4 linked regions of the Oryza sativa Japonica Group genome follow. The protein of the gene in region 2 binds, or shares a complex with, the protein of the main gene of each other region. Links are inferred from orthologs where the notes say so. Each region holds a gene or a part of one and is shown on either strand. Other genes may lie near its edges.

Region 1 (5,253 bases), on a different chromosome or scaffold from region 2:
GTATGGAGAATCAAGCACTAGAAAAGGAAGGAACAATGCTTTGAAGTAAATGAAATGGAATAATTTTAAGACAGCAGCATAGAAAATGAAAAGAAATGTGCTTTTAATAGCTACATAACCTTTGGGTGCTGTGACAACTGAGATGATAAACCGTAACCCAGACAACAAAAAAGCCTCCGAAATAAAAATTACCTTACCTGTGCTAGCATCCCAGCAGCCGATGGTCTTAGTTGCTGTTGAGCATGTAGCTGCTGTTGCTGAGATGTTTGCATCAGTTTTTGCCTATGTTGTTGTGCCGTCAAATGCTGCTGGGGTGAAGGGGTGTTCATCATATTGGTCCCTGACCTAGGGGAGTTTGCATATGGCATTGGAGGAGTAGATACATTTTCAAAATTAGGCGTTCCTGTAGCTCCAGGTGATGGAGCAGGTCTGCCAAGTAACTGTCCTCCAGACACCTGCTATTAGAATGAAGGCCCAAATTTGAACATCAAGATAGAAACATCAAAGGCCTGCATGAGGTCAGGTTGGTGATTGCTCTTATGAAATGCAATTGTCTTAATAATAGTTCAAGGGAAAGCATTCTAACCAACACTTAATACAGTTGATCATAGAAAGGAATACCAATATACCATTACAAATTATATGGCAAATTGATACACGGGAAACAAAACATCTGCCTTTTGTAACTTTTTTTGCTTTCAGCCCAACTAGCAATAATATGGACATATTCTATTAATTTCGTAATGGTCAAAGCTGTTATTACTGGCACTAGACAAACCTGCATTGGATTTCCCTGGGCGTTGACAACATTAGGTACAAATGTTGAGGTATTTTTGGGGTACACACCTGCAAGTATAGACTCTAGTTATATGCTTTTGTTGAAGCATTGTGTGACATACAGACTGCACAAATGGCAACACTAAGGGTAGCAGCAAGTTATTGATTATTTTTATATAAAAAAACATCTAGAGCAGATGAACAACTCATTGATGCTATAGTTCCAATGCTCAAAACAAGGAGTGAACCATGGAGAATTGTAGGTATGTCACAGAAACAGACCAGAATTATCACCAAAATTATGTGCCCCATCTCCAAAAGGAAGTACGTCCACTAAATGGCTAGGAAGAGATGAATACATCTGCCTTTGGTCTCCCGGTACACGCAATCCTGGATAATCAGACTAAATCATCATGGACTATAAACAATGAAATTGTTACATAAAAGGAGAAGCTTATGCTAAAATTAAATTCAAAGTAATTTTTAAACTGATAGCTATATTAATACACCATTAATGCTTATCACCTTCACCATAATTTACCGCTGCTCTAAGTAGGCCTTCCTGCTCCTGTATCTTTGCAGCCTGTGCCTTGTCCAATGTAGGACCAAGATTTGCCCCCTGACGGGCTCCTAGACCATAATTCTTGCGACTTTCAGCAATTACTTTCTCAGCTGTTTCACATGCACTTCCAATCATATCTATCCTAGTCTGAAAGGAATAGCAGCAAGTCCCATTAAAATTAACAGATAATGAAAAGATCACGCAGGTATAATAAGCTACATAGGTTTGCATTTTCCAGACAGAAATAATCACCTTTAACTTTTCAATTTGTCCAGAAACTGTTAGATTCGTTATTCCAGACAACAAGTTGTCCCTCTTTGTAGCTTCTTCAGCTTCCATCTCAGGTAACAGCTTTGACGACAGCATTACAGGCAGTACTGCAGTACTCACGAATATCAAACAGGACTAACGATGTGGTAAAACTAGAAGCAGATGAACATGGGAACACAAATTGCGATGCATCCCAACCATATACAGCAACCGTGACCAATTAGCATCTTGTTAGGTCATTTTTAGATTCCTATCACACTTATCCCAGAAATAGGAAAGTGTTGACAAAAATGGCTACCCATGCTACATTAGGAATATCTTTACCAATTTACCCTAGGATAAAATTCGTTTAACTAAAGCCAATTAGCCATATCAGCCTGAAGTTTAATCTCAATATTTAAACCAAAGGAATAACTATTGCTAGGAAGTGAGAAAGGTCAACAATTGGTTCTTCATGTGTAAAACAACTCGTAAAAGAAATGACATGTATATATATGAACTACTCATTACCAAATGCAGCATAACCATAATATCTCATATATCCTTGTTGCTCATAACAGAAATCACATAGTATATTTCTTGGTTCTCATAACAGGTGACCTGTCTTCTCATCTGGCTTTGGGCACCATTGAACATGAGAAGACTCTGTTTGGTAAGGTCATGGAATCAAAAGTGGTCTGCTTAGCTGGGTAGCGTGTAACAGCTGCCCAAGGCAATATTTTGTGAAGGTTTGAACTACGCAGAGCAATTCCATTCTACATTATGTTCATGTATTCTTCTTCCCACAAACTTTATGCTTGTGGATCTACCTAACTAGTGTGGTTATTACTGATATAGCGATCGATTGGTGACACAAGAGAAGAGAAGTGGAACAGCAAGCATACTGGCAGCGTTTTCGGCATTAACGTTTCGGGGGTAGACCACAAACACCTTGGACACCTTCTTGATGTCCTCCACGATATTGAAGAGCTCCATGCTCACCATCGAGAATTGCCCAAGCACATCCTGCCTGCCATACACGCACCACGGCACGAATCAGCATTGCATAAACCCTAGAAAGGGGAAGCTGAATCCTCTACAGAGTCCAGCGGGCGATCGGGGGATGGGGGAATGGAGGTGAGGCAAGTACTACCACTTGGGGGAGGCGTTGGGGTTGGCGCGGGCGATGGCGTCGAAGTCCTCGAGGATGCGGGAGATGGCCTTGTACAGGCCCACGGCGCGCGCCCGCATCCCCTCCAGGTTCAGCTGCTGCTGCACCCCGGCGCTGAGCCGCTCCGTCCGTGGCTGCTGGTCCCCTCCTACGGGCGCCGCCGGGTTCGGCGCCCCGGCGGCCGCCCCTAGCGCCGCCGCGTCCATCCGAGCTCGCCGGATCTGCTGCGTGGAGGAGCTCGCGGGAGTTGGGGGGCTTCACAGGAGGCGGAGATGGCTTCACGCCGGCGGCGGAGGCGGCGGAGATGGGCCGTCGGAGTTAGTAGGGCGGCGCCGGAGAATTTGAGTGTTGGAGAGAGGGAGACCGCGAGATGAGGACGGGAGGGGGAGGTGGTTTTTCCCCGTTTTCACGAAAACCGGTAAAATCGGCTCAAAGTTTGTTAAAGAAAAAAAGAAAAGGTTCGCTTTGAATATTTTTTTTCAATAAAAACTTACCAAAGAAAACCGAGCAATTTGTGTTGTCCTGTAAACCATGGGATACGAGCGAAATAGACAACAAGCCTTGTTTAGTATCCGGAATTACTTCATAGTAATAGGATACGTTCCATTTCATGTTATGTTGCTTTATATTGAGACGAATGAAGTAGATTAATTTATATATTTCACGAGGAAATTTTTTGATTTTTTAACCGTTAGATTCGCTCCAATATTCATGTAACTGGGGATGGGAAAAATGAATTTTCTTGGAAGAAACACTTCTGATGCTATGATAGCATGGTTTTTTAATGTAGTTACATATAGTTAATATAATTTTATTATAAGTAGTGAAGTCGTATAAGTTGTAATGGGAAGTACTAAATTTATGACAAACATTACATGATTAGAGTTCATTTTATGACATGTTCTATTTTTTGTCAATTAGCTCCAACATAAACTCATGTTTTGAGCAAACCCCAAACATCAATATTTTGGTCCCATGTTATCTCCTTCTACTATTGCATAGGCCAATTTCATACTACCCCTTATAAGGTTTTAATCCAACCCAGACATAGCGTTGTATGTACTACAAACAACAATAAATTATAGTAGAGTATTCTTGCTTGTGAACACTGAAATCATATCATTTAACTCCTTATATCTTAAATCTCAAGTTTTGTTGCTTTCCATAAAATTGAGGACAATGCTAACAGTAGGAGCTAAGATCATGGTACTATTTGTTACTTTTTTTAAGTAAAATATATGGCCGGTCTCTAAACTTGTGTTGTGCTGTTACTTAGGTTCATGAACTTGAAAATTACACGTTTAGGTCCGTGAACTTGGTTTAGGCTGTGTTTAGATCCAAAGTTTAGATCCAAACTTCAGTCCTTTTCCATCACATCAACTTGTTATACACACACAACTTTTCAGTCACATCATCTCCAATTTCAACCAAAATCCAAACTTTGCGCTGAACTAAACACAGCCTTAATGTATCACCTTGGTCCAAACGTCCTTTGGCTGTGTTTGACCGCCAACGTGGCATGCCACGTAGGCAACACTTTCGCTCTCAGCTCCCTCCGCGTCACAACACGTCGCATATATCTCCTTGTAGCTATATTGTGACACCAGAATCCCAAAAAAGAAATCCTCAAATCGCTTTTCCCTCTCATTCTTCTCCCTACATGTACAGAAAATACTCATAATACCACAGGATTTCTACACTTTGACTATTATAAATACGGGATGTTGTGGCATTCACTATAAATTTAAATTTTGTTAATTGAATTTACAGTGCAAGGTTACCATCTAAAAGGAAGTTTTGTCTAGTAACTTCTTCCCTGTATTAGTAGTCCTCTTGCCATTTGTTCTTCACTGTTTCCTACTTAACTGAAATCACAACAGCCGTCAGGCAACTACTTTCAAACGAAAATTTGTCCCCTTCATCAGAAATTAGGTGACTGAACCCTCCTCCTGCTGCTGCTGTTGTTTCTGCTGCCGAAGATACTCATGGATGGAAGAACGGAGGACACGATTAGGGATGAGTTTGAGATCGGGAAGGACCAAGTTCGTCATCGGAGACCTATTATTCCCGCTATCAAACCACCTCCTTATGGCCTCTCCTTCATAGGTGAACCCATCAGATGCGACTTGAGGATCTTTCATGATCTCCTGAAAATATCAACACGAGTCGTCACAAATGCACACTAGAAAATTTTTCATCATTGAACATTTTCGACAAGAACATTATAAAAAACGGATAAGCGAAAAAATCATCCGAGTTTAAATTTATTTATTTACCATGAGGATCGGACAGATGAAAGGAGCAGGGATACAAACTTCTGGTGATGCCGGTGGAAAGTACGGGCAAGAAGAGGGCTTCCTCATCAGTGGCCTGACGACTCTCCACACATCGTTCAAGAGATCGGGCCGTTTCTCCCTTGCCATTTCAGCGCATCTAACACCAAGGACAGCCAGCTGTTTGGCCTCCTTGTAAGGCCAGTCTCCAGCAGATTTAT
Region 2 (4,456 bases):
ACATCTCAGAAAATCACACGTCCTTCAACTGTTGTCAATACACAACATATATTACGAGCAGCGATCTCACAGTATATTTATATTAGAATCAAACCAGGCTGGAGATGTAGACTGTTCTGTACAAGAGGGGCCGCTACCAAATCCAGCTAGTAAACAGGGAGGATTTCCAAAAGTACAACCACACATAATAAATAAGTACACACCAGTAGCAATTGCATGTTTGCTAAAATGTTAATTATGGTTACATATATTTATGTGCATATATTTATAGAGCGATGCATTAACCGTTCCAGTTAAGGGCGTGCAAGCGATCGCACAATATCGATGCAAAACGAAGATTGGTGCCAGCAGGACTGAAGAAGAATGGGGATTAAGCACCCACGCAATTTTCCCAACAACCATAGCTCGAACTGAAACTGCCTCCACCAGTCTGTTGAGCATACTCAGCAATTACTTTGCGGGCACACGCGTCCCACGTCCTCGCAATTTCTCTTAGTGACATGGGCTCAGCTAAACCCCGAAGCAATATGCTGAACTTCGACCTCGCTTTGGTCGACAGGTCATCCGAGTTTCTATAGCAGATTCACAAGCACAATGCAACATCCTTAGTTTATTTATGTACAGAGAATCAGGACAGCCTAATATGTAGTACCTGGCGTAGAATCTGATAAAACATTGGATACTGACCTTTGTTCATCTGGGAACTTGTCTAGGAGAACCGGGGAGCACTTAGGGTAGCTAGCGGGGACAAGCACCCTCAATGGCAAAATTGGACTCTGCCACACATTTTTAACATGGAACATCAGCGAACAATAAAAGCCGATACCACAGATCATGCTTTGAGAAGCTTACCATCTGTGCTGATGCAAACATGGACTTCAAGCTGGGGCTAACAGCCACAGCAGTAAATGTGCATTTGATGACTGTCCCTTCTGTCCCTTCTGATGTAGCACCAAAAGACTCAGCATCATCCTCGCAAACATGGAGCTCTGTATCTATGAGCTGTTGGTTTATCTCATGTATTTCCTCCATAAGAGCATGGTTTATCTGCAGGTGCACCAGAGACAAGATAAATAATAAAGGTAGCCAAAAATTTAGAATAGCTCCCGTCAATTTAACTATACTTCCCTTCTCTGGGCCCATATATGTAATGGAAGTCATTGTGGAAACAAAACAGCTGGATAATCATGATATTTTAGTTTATTCATCATGCCACTAAGTTTCATCTATACAAACGATTGTGAAGCTGATCACTGAGGCATATAATGTATTGATCCCTATGAAATAATAAAGAGCATACCTCGGTTTTTTGCCACTTTACACGTGAGGTTGCAGTTGACTGCAATTCAGGGGTACCTATGCTGAATGTTTGCTTCAAACTGTCATTAACACTTCCAGCTGATGACACATTAAGAGGCATAGCACTAGTGTCACGCTTCATTTTCTTTGATGTACCGGTCCCATCATGTGTTATGAAATTCCTGGCTTGCAATCGGCACTTTGTCATAGCAACTAAATCTTCACCAACAGCAGCTCTAGAACCATTACCAGGCGCAGACCCAGCAATCCTGTCAATCATGCTGACAACAGAACCTATGTCGCTTACTGCAGCACTCAAGGACTGGCGTTGTGTTGTCCGCAACTGCCATACAGAACACAAGGGACATGAATCATGCAAGAAAAAAAAAGGGACAGGAAGGTAAATCCTCAATTTCAATCTAAAGGGAGGGTATATGCCTTCTATATGATCAAAATTTGTTTAAGGAAGCTAATTTGAGGGGAATAAAAGGTATTAATGATTTCTTCTCTTTTAGCACAGCAGCAAAACAGGCTATCCGGAAAACATAGCTAGATTCCACAGAGCAATAGTGAAGAGAAATAAATAAAATAGGTCAATGCTAAACCTATCAAGTTCTTCAGATGTCAAGACTCAAAGAGTCAACTTTAAATAAGCAGTAACATGAAATGACCAGGCATGATGACTCCCATGCTTTGCATCCCCTTGACTTCAAAATATTTGTGTACAGATCTAACATGTGTGTTATTTGCATAATCCCTTAGCACACGCATATGTGCATGTGACTGGGATTTTAGCATAGTATCCCTTTTTGACATAATTATCAAGTTCAGAATTTACGATATACTTATCTGAGATCTGCTGCAACCTTTGGGCATCATTTTAGTTATCGTTTGATAAACTAGTTGATTGAAACAGGGTAATGTTTGTATTAACTTTAGCAAGGTAGGTGCACGAGGTTACAAGCAAAAGGCATGGCATATATAACTCCTGAACTAAATATTTTAGCTGAGCCTACTGTGTTCTTTATGCCATAGTTAATTACGCTTTAAAATATACTCAGAATAGCACTGATTAAATAATAAATTTATTTTGCACTACAGAAACGAAGAAAAGACAGTAAATAAAAAGTTGGCAAAGTTACTGACCGCTTTAAGTAAGCGGTCTAAAGGCCTTTCTGCTGCACTTGATTTGGTTAGAACTTGGGTTGGCATGTTAGCCTGATTTCCATCAACACTTGTAAATTCTGCCAACAAGGGTGAGGCCGAGATCCCTGGAGTGTTAACGGCGATTGATTGTGACTGAGGCGCCATGTTTGTTTGCTGATGTGTAGCCTGACCAGTATTAGTAAGTGATGATGATAAATTGGAGAGTGGTTTCTCTGAATCCACTGGTATAGGAGACGGGGCAACAGGTGGCGATGGAGATGGCATATATGGTGAGTTAGCTGACTGCAATGGTGTCCCGGTCTTCACTTGAGACGGCAAGAGATTGTGCTGATCAACCTGAGGAGAATGGTGTGAAATTTGGGGGGATGATGCTTGGAGGTTTTGTGGTGACGAAATTGGGAAAGCACTGCCCTGTTTCATTTGCTGATTATAAAAGTTATTGCGCTGAGCCAAGTGCTGTTGATAAATCCCAGGTTTCATTGCAGCTCCTTGTCTAACCTTCAGCTCGTTTGCATCATTTCCAGAATGATGCTGTGGAACCTGCATCTGTGATTGCTGCTGTTTCTGTAATTGTTGCTGTGCTGGGAGTTGCTGCTGAAGCATTTGTTTTTGCTGGAACTGCTGAAACATTTGACGCTTCATTTGCTGATTCTGCATCATATGATGCTCCTGCTGTTGCTGCTTCAGCTGCTGTAATGAATTTGCGTTGGCTTGCATGGAATTGGCATTAGCCTGCATTGTACCTACTGAGTTGTGAGATAACATGCTACTACTGGCCTGCTGTTGTGCATTCAGTGTACCCTGCATGGGCCCAGTGCTTCCCTGTTGCAAAGCACCACTCATTGAACCATGCTGCAAAGAATTAAAATTGCTTCCTTGAGTAACCTCCAAATTAGAGGTAGCCTGTGGTGCATTTGTGACATTTTGCTGTGTTGCTGGAACACCAAAGTTTGTTGCTGGGGATGCAGGTAAATGTTGGATACCAGCTGCACCTGAGGATTGTAATCCGGTGCTCATACTTGGCATGCTTGCTTGAGGCATCTGATTAGTATGGTTATCATGCTGCTGCAAACCTTGGGAAGGTTGTTGTTGTTGCGGAATGTTAGAGGTAGGACCTTGCCCAGCAGATTGTTGAAATTGTGTCTGCTGGCCTTGCACCCTTGGCCTCTTTTGCGAATTTAGGATACTGATAATTTGCCTCTCGTACGCAGGAATTTTGTCCCTAAGGGCAGGCTGAATGTTGCCCTTGTTCAATTGCAGAACATGCATTGTACGCTCCAACATCAGTTTGAAATTCTTCATCTTTTCATACTGTTCTGTTGGCTTTTGAGGTGGAACCATGTTGTCAACATGCTGTAGCTTCAAAGAGATCTTATTGTACAAATCATTTAATTCAGGAAAATATTGGTCCTTTAAGTTCTTCACCTGTGATCACAAGAAAGAAAAACACAAAAGCTATGAAGGGATGGATACTACAGAAAAGAAACCATTCAGTAAACCAAGGCCTGTTGTTTAACTAACAGATATGGTGCAGGCAAAGATTGTTCGAATAGTTATTACATGCATAGGGAACTTAAAGAAAAAACTATAATAACCAGTAGAAAACATGGTGTTGATTGAACTTGCAAGGTCAAGAGAAAGGGATTACAAACTGCATCATAACCTTATCACATCTAGATACAATATGCTATACAGTCCACATTCACAAAGAATCCTCTATCTTAAAGAAAGCATGCATGTGCATAGTTGTATGAATATCAGTTCCACCTTTATCAGTAAAAGATAACATTCTTGTTTCTTTGGCTACACATGTCCAATTATTGATTTCACCATACTTCAATGGTTAAAAGATTAAGAACAAAATGAGTTACACATAAAATTGTACAGATCTGAAAAAAAAATGCAGTGTCGAATTCGTTCCAGATGTCTCGAGAGAAAAAAGGACATGCAATCAATTGGGAACTGTTTATTGTTTAGTTGGTGGAAAACA
Region 3 (4,890 bases), on a different chromosome or scaffold from region 2:
TAGGGTATGTTCTTGGTCTCCCACACACAGCCATCTGATTTAAAATCAACGGTAGAGATGGTGCAAAGGTAAAAATTGCTATTCAGAGAGAGTTTGAGGCAAAAGATAGGATCTCTATGTTCTAGATAAATCTTCCTCCATCCTGAAACGGATATAGCAGATTGATGTGGGCTAGATATAGCAGAACTACAGATTGGTGTGATTTATTTCTAACTAGATCTTTCTCCCAAGATTCTCAACAAATATTGGTAACCCCAATGTTACATGGGCTGAAAGAAAAGATCCTAAAACAAAATGCAATTTTTAAGTAATTGTTAAAAATAATGGGTCTTCGAACACCTAGCTAAATGTTTGTGTTTTGCTATAGATAAAAAAATGTATTAATATGTTAACCATCTTTTTGCTATAGGGAATATTCATCTTAGGCCATGTTCATTTCTTATGCAATCTGAGGATAAAATTTTAGATACTCGTGGCACACTTTTCAAACAGCTAAACAGTGTGTTTCGTACGAAAACTTTCTATATGAAAGTTGTTCTAAAATATCAGATTAATTCATTTTTCAAATTTGTAATAATTAAAATTTAATTAATCACATGTTATTATCACCTCGTTTTGCGTGAAACACTTAATCTTCATCTTCAGGAGATTCAAACACTACCTAATCATTTTTTTATTTGACTATCAATTTAGATTTGATCTTTTAAATATTAAGAAATTTAAGGGGCAACTTACAAAATTTACAATGAGGGTAGGTATGATGACATATTCACTATATGACATATCTCCGTTTTTTTTTTTGAAGAAGTATAGATTAGACCAATTGACTAGCCGACTGGGTACATCGGTCGTACTCCCCAAAATGGCACCAACCTAACCTAATGCTATATTAGATTCTGCTATAACTTATAATCAACTAAGGAGTATATTACATCAATAAAAGAAATATCTACCGATAACATTAAGTTAATTGTGACTATCACTGATCGATTAATTAGATGTATTTATGACAACCGCATGCATACGTGTCGAGCAGCAAAGAAGTGTGTTCACTTTTATGCTACAGTAAAAAAATCAGAAAGTCACGAAGTCAAGCAATATATGTTGCCATATTTGATGTTTAACACAAGATTAAATACACAAACATAAAGATAAATGGGACTTAAACAATATGCATAGGAAAAAAAATATTAGCATTTCATGTTTCTTTTTTCTAAAATACAACGGAAATTCACTGACTCCATATGTTCATATTGTAATCTAAGTTTATCTTTCAGTTAAACTTCTCTAACACCGGTTGGCTTTATAAAAAAAAATACAAAATCTGTAACACCAAATTAGTTTAATTAGATTCATCATGAAATATGTCTTTATTGCATTTATTTATTATTTTATATATTGGTGCATTTTATTCAAACTCAGACAATTAACTTAGAAAAAAATATTTATAGACCTAGAATTTTTCCCAAATAGAATTCCAGATTTATTTTCCAAATAGAAATATCATAAATATCATTATATATATATATATATATATGTATATATATATATATATGTATATATATCTATATATCTAATAAATCAAACTAAGTCTAAATAACTCTAAAACATTTATACATCCTAACAAAGGTATAAATATTTACAGGGTACTTTTAAGCTATGTTCTTCCCCCCATTTTCCCAACCCACCTATCTTGTTTTCCACGTGTACGCTTTTCAAACTGCTAAACGGTGTGATTTATAAAAAAACTTTATATATAGAAGTTGTTTAAAAAAATCATATTAATCTATTTTTTAAAATAAAATTAGATAATACTTAATTAATCATGCAATAAAATAAACTTCGTTTTGCGTGGCAGGAGGAGGGGTTCCCAAGCCCCTCCTCTGAACACAGCCTTAGTAGGTGCGCCAGGCGCACCCATTTTCTAGTAGTTTTTGGAAGAAGGGTTTCATTGCAATTTTGCGATCCCCACCTCTCTCTCTCTCGTCTCTCGCTCTCATGGCCGAGCCGCCGTCGCAGTCGCCGGCGCAGACGCCGCCGCAGGCGGCGCAGCAGCAGCAGCAGGGGCCCGGGGAGAGCGCGCGCGACGACATGATGGCCTGCGTGGCGGCGCTGGAGGCGGCGCTGCTGCCCTGCCTCCCCGCGCGCGAGCTCCAGGCCGTCGACCGCTCCCTCCAATCCTCCCACCAGAGTACGTCGGACTCACTGAGACTGACCCCGCCGCTCCCCCTCTCTCCTCCCTCTGCAGCCTCCCTTCCCCGTCGTTCTTGCGCTTCCCCCGGCCAAGATTTGGCGCGGCTGGTTTGGTTCGACTCGCCCGCCCGCCAGGTGTTCGCTGTTTTGCCTACGAGGTGGGGATTAGGAAGCCCCTCGTGCTCTAGCAAAATGTGGCGAAGTTATTTTTTCTTTTTACTTGCGCTGTTGGTACGCGGGCGTCTCGCGGGTGCTGAGATGAGATTGAGAGGGTGGCATTTGAGCGTTCTACATCTGTGTGCTCAACTGTCGATGTAGAAATTGGATTCTTTTGCTTTGTTGCTGGTTAGCAAAATAGGGATTCTAAGGTGTTGTGGTTGTTATAATGTGGAACAGTTGATGTTGAGAGGCACGCGAGGGATTTCATGGAGGCTGCGAAGAAGCTCCAGTCTTACTTCATCAGCCTGCAGCGCGAGGACCGACCGTCGACAGAAGAAATGCTTCGAAAGGTACATTGCATTGCTTTCGGAACAACTTTGCTTCGAAAGGTACTCCTTGACTTCGAAATGATTAGCAAATTAGAACTTTGTGATTAGCAAATTAGCCTGTAGGTAGAACTAGGACCTTGTTTGGGGGAGCTTAAGATTTTGAGAAGCAATTGGTTGGTAGTCAGTTTATGAGAATATGAAGAAGCTGGAAAGTTAGGTTTCTTGTTTCTAGTTTATTTTCTGTATTCTTTAACTACATCTTCTCAGAATCTAGATGAAAAGCTGAACTGTTTGAGTGAGCTTTTAATTTTAGGAAAAGCTGCAGCTGCCAAAAGCTCCCTCAAACATGCCCTAGGTTGGGTAAGCACAGAGTAACGATTTGACACCAGAGTACACAGACATGGGAGGCTGAGAGCTTGGGGATGGCGAGGGAAAAGGTCTAAAAAATATTCAATTTTCAAAGATAAGGGCTTGAGTTTGTCTCTTTTACAGTCTTGAATTGACTGGGCCAGCTCTAAATCAGTCCCGTATTGTTAGCACTAATTCTCTGAGATGTCTAATTGAAGTTTTTTTTCTGTGTTAGTACTCGTTGTGCTCAACATTTTAGAGTGCTTGAGATCCAATGGTTTTTAATATTTGGCCCATCAATAAGTTTAAAGCTATCTAGATTGGTTGTATAAAATCCATTTGACCCTCTCTTTGAAATCAATTATATTGATGTTATATTGCAACCGTTGTAAAAAAAAAATTGTGCATCGATTTTTCTCTATAAGCTTCATGGGAGAAATCAAGAGAAATCCTATATGGCGTGGTCCCCAAGCTGTAATAATCAAATAATAATGTGTCATCATGTTTTAACATGTCCAGTTTCGGTTTGCAGGATATTGCTATAATGGAGGAAGAGCTGAAGACCAAGTCCGAGCTCATCGACAAACATAAGAAGCTCATCGAAGGGTGGCAGAAAGAGCTGAAGGACCAGCTGGGAAAGCATGTTACTGAACTCGAAAGAGTGTGACACCACTGTCTTCCATGAAATGTCCCAGGCTCCTTCCGATGATCAACCTGAGTAGCCCAGTGCTGGGCTATGCCTTGGAGATTTTGAGTACGCCAGCCAGGAAAAAAAAAACACCACAACAATGTTTTAGGATCTGACCAGTTTGCCGAAGACGAACAAATTGCGCTGTATTAATGTTCGTTGCTATGTTCGGTTTATCATAATATTATTGTTCGTAGTTTCTCGTGTGCTCTCCATCTCATCGTGTTAGGCATGCCTAACATGTTAAACTTTTAGATTTTTCGGAGCAACATCTTTTTCCCGATTATAGGAGTGTATGATAACATGTGTGTTCAATGGAATTGTCTAATTGCCTCACTTGTCATTTTAGATGTTTCTTTCAACATATTAATGATTTAATGGTAATTGAATCCCACAGTTGCTGTCAGGTGACCATGGTGACACAACTACACAAGTATGACTATGAGATGGTAAATATTTTAACGAGGCTAACAGCAATAGCATAAATGTAAATCGTCTCAAGCTGCCATATTTTACACAAGGGAACACGAGTGGAACTAACTAGGAGAACTCACGACTGCAAAGATGGTTCAAATTTCATCTCATTCCTGAAACACACACGGGCAGCTGAGCAGTAGTACATTAACATGGTTGTCATGGTGTAGTCTACCTAACAATGAAAATCTATGGATTATGCGAAAACTTGGGACTACAACATTCATCGAGCAAGTCAATAGTACATTTACTTCTTCGCATACGAGATAAGCATCTGGTTATCTTTCGTAATTTTGAACCCCTGAAGATGGTTCATGGCAGCGGTAGCCTGCCCCTCGTCGCCGTACTCCACGAAAGCAATCCCAGGCTTTGCTTCAACCATTCTGACTTCCTTGAACCCTGGGTACTGACAGAAGAGCATCTGAAGCATCATAGGGGTCGTCTCATGTGGGAGGTTTTGGACGAAGAGGATGTTATTCGGTACAATTATCTCCGGCATCATGACCTTCTGTGCGCCAGCAAAAGGTAGCTGAGAGAGCTGCACAAAACAGTGAGCCAATGAATCGAAGGAATCCAAAAGTAGTGGGCCCAAGAAAAATATAAGGCAGAAATAGGGGCGTTTAAATGTGCAACATGCTTACTGTACAAACAGTGGTCTTTATGCTTGTGATTATTGTTTGCCGTGGTCATTTGTATTAG
Region 4 (4,991 bases), about 26 Mb from region 2:
GCTGAACTCACCCTAAATTCATGAAAAACCAATGACAAAAATTACAGCAAAACTTCCATGATTTGCATTGTACAGGCAAATGATACAAAATTATCTAAAGGTATGGTACATGTTGACTTACCCCTTAACACATTTCCATTATAAAAATATACTACTGCAATATATGGGTGTGCCTCAACCCTTTAGGGTGTGTTTGGATAATGGGAAATGAGGGGTGAGATTGGGATTGGGAAATGAATGAAGAGTTAGGATTAAATGTATGAGGGAGAATGAATGGTTAAGATTTAAAGAGGGGTGAGAAATTATTTCCCTTAGACATTTGCCAAACACTGCCTTAGCATCCAAGCTGCTTCATCAATACCTTATCTACTGAACAGGCAGAAATCAGATTCAGTAAATCTCCTAACTCATCAGTTAATAGATGCAACAATGGGGGTAAATCTCTAAATTGATTCGTATGTGGGTGATTCAGAAAGAGAGAGAGAGAGAGAGAGAGAGAGAGATTCAGGAGAGGGTCGACGGCGTCGAGGAAGCCCGCGTGGTCGGCGGCGCGGCCGTGCTCGGAGGGGATGACGTTGGGGATGGTTCGGAGGCGGCGGCGGCGGAGGAGGAGGAGAGGAGGCCGAGCCGAACTGGCGTCCCGCCGCAGTCGCCGGCTTGTGGTCGATCTGCAGGCTGTCAATGCTGGGGTAACTTGCTGCTGTCCCGAAGCAAAAAACAACAATTTTCCAGTGTTGAAATCAATGTCATCCAACAATCCAAGACATGTAAAACGTTACCACTGGATGAATGATGCAAGAACAATGGTAAATGTCAGATTCAATTCAGGGTTCTCGTTCTTGTGGAGTCACTCACATTCAGATGATGCGGCTGCGACGAGGGCACACCACCCAGCTTCTGCTGCTGATACTTGCTCCCGTTCGCCTCCTGCAGGAGATCACCATTGAAGAGGCTGCGACAACCCTAGCTCCTCCTCCTCCTCAGACCATTTCCTCCATGATAGGCTCCCTCCGTGGCCGCGGCCGCCGCGTCCGCCCTCGCGCTCCTCCTCCTCCTCCTGTCCCGCTCGCCGGTAGCACGAGGAGCCGCGTCCACGTCATCACCTACCGCTCCCCCGCCGCCTCTGCGGCCGCGGCCGCGCTCCCGTGGATCGACTGGGCGCGCACGGCGTCGATGAAGGCGGCCCCGGGCTGTTGTCCTTCGCCTCCGATCCGGGCAGCGTGGGTCGGTCGCTGGCGCTGCTCGTGGAGTTCGCTCATGGTCGGCGGCGGCGAGGCCCGGCATGGTCGGGTGAGGCAAGGTGGGAAGTCACGCGGGCGGCGGGTGAGGCTCATGGTCGGCGGCGGCGGCGAGGCCCGGCATGGTCGGGTGAGGCGAGGTGGGAAGTCACATTGTCGGCGGCGGCGAGGCCTGGCATGGTCGGGTGAGGCGAGGTGGGAAGTCACGCGGGCGGCAGGTGAGGCGGGCGGCGTGGCTGGCGTGCGTTCTTTTTTTCGTTCTTTTTGGCGTGCAGTTTCTTTTTTCGGAGCAAGACGCGGTGTTAATCCGGTGCTAATTGTAACCGCAGGATTAATCCGGCGCTAATTGCAATCATGGTGTTAATTACACTAAACAACTCGTGCTTTTTATATTAGTCTAGATTAGAGTCCAAGTCCGATTCAATTAGTGTTAACTAATCGGGTGAGTTAATTGTTAGTAATAGTTTGGTTTAATCCTGGGCCGTCCGATCCATTTGTGTGTGGATCAGATCTGGACGCGTGGTGGTGATGTGATGCAATTTTCCGCGTGGGGTCCCTTGGTTCCTTCGTAATCAAGCTAGCCATGGGCCCACGTGCCAGTCAGAGAGTGGCTTGCGCACTGTCGATGTGCTGGGCCCACCAGTTTTCTTTGATGGGCCTAGATGTAATTGGGCCTTGGTGGATAGAGAGGAGGAGGAGAGAGAAGGAGAGGGAGAAGAGGAGGAGGAGGAGGTCGCCGGCGGCGAGGAGGGGGACGAGATCGCCGGAGATGGACATCATCTCGCAGCTGCAGGAGCAGCTGAACGAGATGGCGATGGTGGCGGTGAACACCTTCGGGACGCTGCAGCGGGACGCGCCGCCGGTCCGCCTCTCCAACAACTACCCGGACCCGCTCAACCCCGCCGCCGCCGCAGCAGCAAACCCTAACCCCGACGACCCCGCCCAGCCGCAGCCTGGAGCGGCGGCGGCGGCGGCGGCGGGAGCTCCGGCTGCGCAGGCACAGGCTCCGCCGGCGCAGGCCCAGCCGCCCGCGCTCGACCTCGCCGAGCATCCCAAGGCCATGAGCCACGCGCTCGTCCTCGCCGCCAAGAAGGTACGCGTCTTCCGTCGCTTATCTTCTCTGCTTGCCACCTGCTCGATGAAATGCCTGAGTGCCTGCTGGTTCTTGGGGTCTGACGCTTTAGGGCTTGGACTGTAATTTTTGGTGTGACCAGCCTTAGCATTTTTGTGTGATTGCAACCACGGTCAGGGTGCCTGGTTCTTTGAAAATTCTTCTACTTACAGAATCATATCTTCTATAGTGAGATTGTTCATGTAGTGTGGTAGAGTACTTTAGTTGCATTGTGCTGTTTTTTAGCCCTCTCGAGATAATTTTGAATGGATCTGCAAAATAGGAGCTTCACTCATATTATTCCTCGCAAAGAAGGGTTGACGATGATGTGGATCACACCAATCTTTGTACTGTTCCTCGCAAAATGTAGGTGGGATGATGGTATGCAGCACACCAACCTCTGTCTCCAGAGGGCAAACTTTGCATCTGAGAGTACACTTGAAATGTGCTACTAGCTACTGTTTCCAATACCGTTCTCTTTTTTTTTTGGTTTTTTTATGCAGTTTGATGCTCTTGTTTCTGCGTTGCCACTATCATCTGAAGAGGATCAGCTGAAAAGAATTAAAGAGCTACAGGTATGTCTCAGTTTTGCCCTCTGAGCAGTACATTGTGAAAGGGTGACATTAAGCTAGTGTCTTGTGAAGATGGTATCTTTGTGCATGTTTCCTTCTGTTTTTTTTTTCCTACGCCTTGTGGATGGAGTTTCATACTAAGGTTGTCCTCCTTAGTCGCTTGCTTTCTTCTGAATGAAGGTTTAGCAGACGCTCGGCAGCATGTCCTGCCATAGTATCAGTATTCATGATACTTGTGTCCTGCAGCTAAAATGCTTATGAATTTGAAATGCGCAGGCAGAGAATGAAGTTGTAGGCACAGAGCTTCAGAAACAACTGGAAGCTGCTGGTATGCTTTGCTATTACATTCTTGGAATATTTTGCCTTCATTATATAATTCCTCACCATGTTACAACTGATTATTTACAAGTCCAGTGTTTTACATGTCTTGTTGCTTTTGTAGAGCTGGAGCTGAAGCAAGTTGAGGCTCTTTTTAATGAAGCTACAGATCATTGTATAAACTTGAAGAAGCCAGAGTAATAGTTATCAATGTAAGTTTGGATTTCTCCCTTCACTATCTCAATAAATCTTTAGCTTTTTTTGTGCTTGCAAAAAATTATGCTTGCGCTTATGATATGGGATTATTTTGTGACCAGCTGTATAATCCGCTTGACTTCCCAAACTTGGTACACTGTATTATCAGGAAGTCAGGATACTGATAACAATTTTGTTCTTATGGTGCTTTTTGCAGTACAATATTCTACATGCACCATTTACTAGATGGCTGTTGGCATCATGTCCATGATCAATTATTGGTTTATGTAGTTTATGTACGATGATGGCCTGAACAAAACATAATTATGGTGGATGTTGACCTGTTATATTAATCCCTCGCAAGATGCTTTCATAAAACCCTCTGGGGGCTTGTCTTTCTGTTGATCAGAAAATTCCAACACAGTGTTGTTACGTATGATCGTAGTATCACTAAAATGACTTATGTTTGCTTTCCTGTCATATCAGGTAACGGAACCCATTTTGGAGTCATGAACAGATGAAGGTGGAGATGTGAATGCCAGCTGCCGATGCTACATGTAGACTCAGTTTTAGTATCAAGTTAGCTGATGCTCAACAATATTCCAGTAGTACTTGTTGGATTAGGAATTAAACCTAGCACTGTAATTTACAGTAACTTGAATAGTTTCAAGCTGGTTCGTTTAATCTGAAATAATTTGAGCATAACTTCATGTTTATTTATTATAGTTGGGCCACTGTTCGTTCACAGCAGCACAGGACCATATAGTGCTATGCAAATACAATTAAGACATGCCTAGGATTCATACTCTTTGAACTTTGAAGAACTGCACTGAAGATATGGAACAATATTATCTCGGTATAAAGCATTCCTCTCTAAAGATTACCCAAACATTGAGGCTAAACATGACTTGAATTCTAGCAACTCTGACACTGAAATATAGAACACCATATTTTCTAGGGGCACTTGGACAAACAAAACATCCCTTGAAAACTTTATTTGTCAAGCTCCAGAGATTGGCTGGCTAACTTGGAGCAAACTCTCAACTCAGGCATACTTGCAATTGCCAGAACCTGCAAAGGTTGGCAAGAAAGCCATGTAAATTTGCAGGATTCAGGTGAAAGAAACAGCAAGTGAAGCAAGCTTTGAAGAGGCTAATACTTACTGGGATCAGTGATGGTGATGAGGCCAGTGCCGTTGAAGAAGCAATTCCATGAGTTCCTCCCCCTGGCCTGGTAGTAAGCGTTCATGGTGACCGACGCCCGCGTCGGCAGGCTGCCATCGTCGTCGGGGAAGGAGCATCCGCCGGTGCCCTGGATGGCGGCGCAGTCGCTCTCCGAGCAGGCGAACTCCAGGTTAGCCCTCAAAGCATCCTCGCTGGCTGCTGGATTTGCGACACACCATGTCTTGGATGACTGCAGGTTTTGCTCAGTTTCAGGCAAGAACAGTTGATGAGCATGGCAAGATCATATGATGCTGCCATTCTGGGTTTGTTTGCATTGCTGCAGAATTAAGGAGAACTGAAATTTCTTGATGAGAACTGAGAATTGTTTGTTTGT

Evidence for each region.
Region 1: mediator of RNA polymerase II transcription subunit 15a (region 2) and mediator of RNA polymerase II transcription subunit 8 share a complex: the UniProt entries of both Arabidopsis thaliana proteins name them as parts of the mediator complex. The link is inferred for Oryza sativa Japonica Group from reciprocal best matches to the Arabidopsis thaliana genes NRB4 and MED8.
Region 3: mediator of RNA polymerase II transcription subunit 15a (region 2) and mediator of RNA polymerase II transcription subunit 28 share a complex: the UniProt entries of both Arabidopsis thaliana proteins name them as parts of the mediator complex. The link is inferred for Oryza sativa Japonica Group from reciprocal best matches to the Arabidopsis thaliana genes NRB4 and AT3G52860.
Region 4: mediator of RNA polymerase II transcription subunit 15a (region 2) and mediator of RNA polymerase II transcription subunit 21 share a complex: the UniProt entries of both Arabidopsis thaliana proteins name them as parts of the mediator complex. The link is inferred for Oryza sativa Japonica Group from reciprocal best matches to the Arabidopsis thaliana genes NRB4 and MED21.

The regions. Positions count from the first base shown.
Region 1 is NC_089037.1:18,122,958-18,128,210, reverse strand, and holds the start of mediator of RNA polymerase II transcription subunit 8, read right to left. Parts: upstream 3,138-5,253; 5' UTR 2,966-3,137; coding exon 2,742-2,965; intron 2,619-2,741; coding exon 2,494-2,618; intron 1,717-2,493; coding exon 1,592-1,716; intron 1,487-1,591; coding exon 1,303-1,486; intron 1,168-1,302; coding exon 1,060-1,167; intron 847-1,059; coding exon 779-846; intron 459-778; coding exon 198-458; intron 1-197. UniProt on the Arabidopsis thaliana protein: Component of the Mediator complex, a coactivator involved in the regulated transcription of nearly all RNA polymerase II-dependent genes.
Region 2 is NC_089042.1:28,443,373-28,447,828, forward strand, and holds the end of mediator of RNA polymerase II transcription subunit 15a, read right to left. Parts: intron 3,892-4,456; coding exon 2,446-3,891; intron 1,643-2,445; coding exon 1,301-1,642; intron 1,048-1,300; coding exon 853-1,047; intron 777-852; coding exon 688-776; intron 573-687; coding exon 371-572; 3' UTR 50-370; downstream 1-49. UniProt on the Arabidopsis thaliana protein: Component of the Mediator complex, a coactivator involved in the regulated transcription of nearly all RNA polymerase II-dependent genes.
Region 3 is NC_089039.1:3,231,977-3,236,866, reverse strand, and holds mediator of RNA polymerase II transcription subunit 28, read left to right. Parts: upstream 1-1,926; 5' UTR 1,927-1,998; coding exon 1,999-2,191; intron 2,192-2,589; coding exon 2,590-2,702; intron 2,703-3,561; coding exon 3,562-3,696; 3' UTR 3,697-4,053; downstream 4,054-4,890. Other genes in the region: U1 small nuclear ribonucleoprotein A, read right to left, coding at 4,439-4,729. UniProt on the Arabidopsis thaliana protein: Component of the Mediator complex, a coactivator involved in the regulated transcription of nearly all RNA polymerase II-dependent genes.
Region 4 is NC_089042.1:2,024,671-2,029,661, reverse strand, and holds mediator of RNA polymerase II transcription subunit 21, read left to right. Parts: upstream 1-1,892; 5' UTR 1,893-2,007; coding exon 2,008-2,331; intron 2,332-2,632; exon of another isoform or gene 2,633-2,715; intron 2,716-2,852; coding exon 2,853-2,924; intron 2,925-3,197; coding exon 3,198-3,249; intron 3,250-3,363; coding exon 3,364-3,440; 3' UTR 3,441-3,451; intron 3,452-3,920; 3' UTR 3,921-4,154; downstream 4,155-4,991. Other genes in the region: major pollen allergen Ole e 10, read right to left, coding at 4,480-4,505, 4,598-4,847. UniProt on the Arabidopsis thaliana protein: Component of the Mediator complex, a coactivator involved in the regulated transcription of nearly all RNA polymerase II-dependent genes.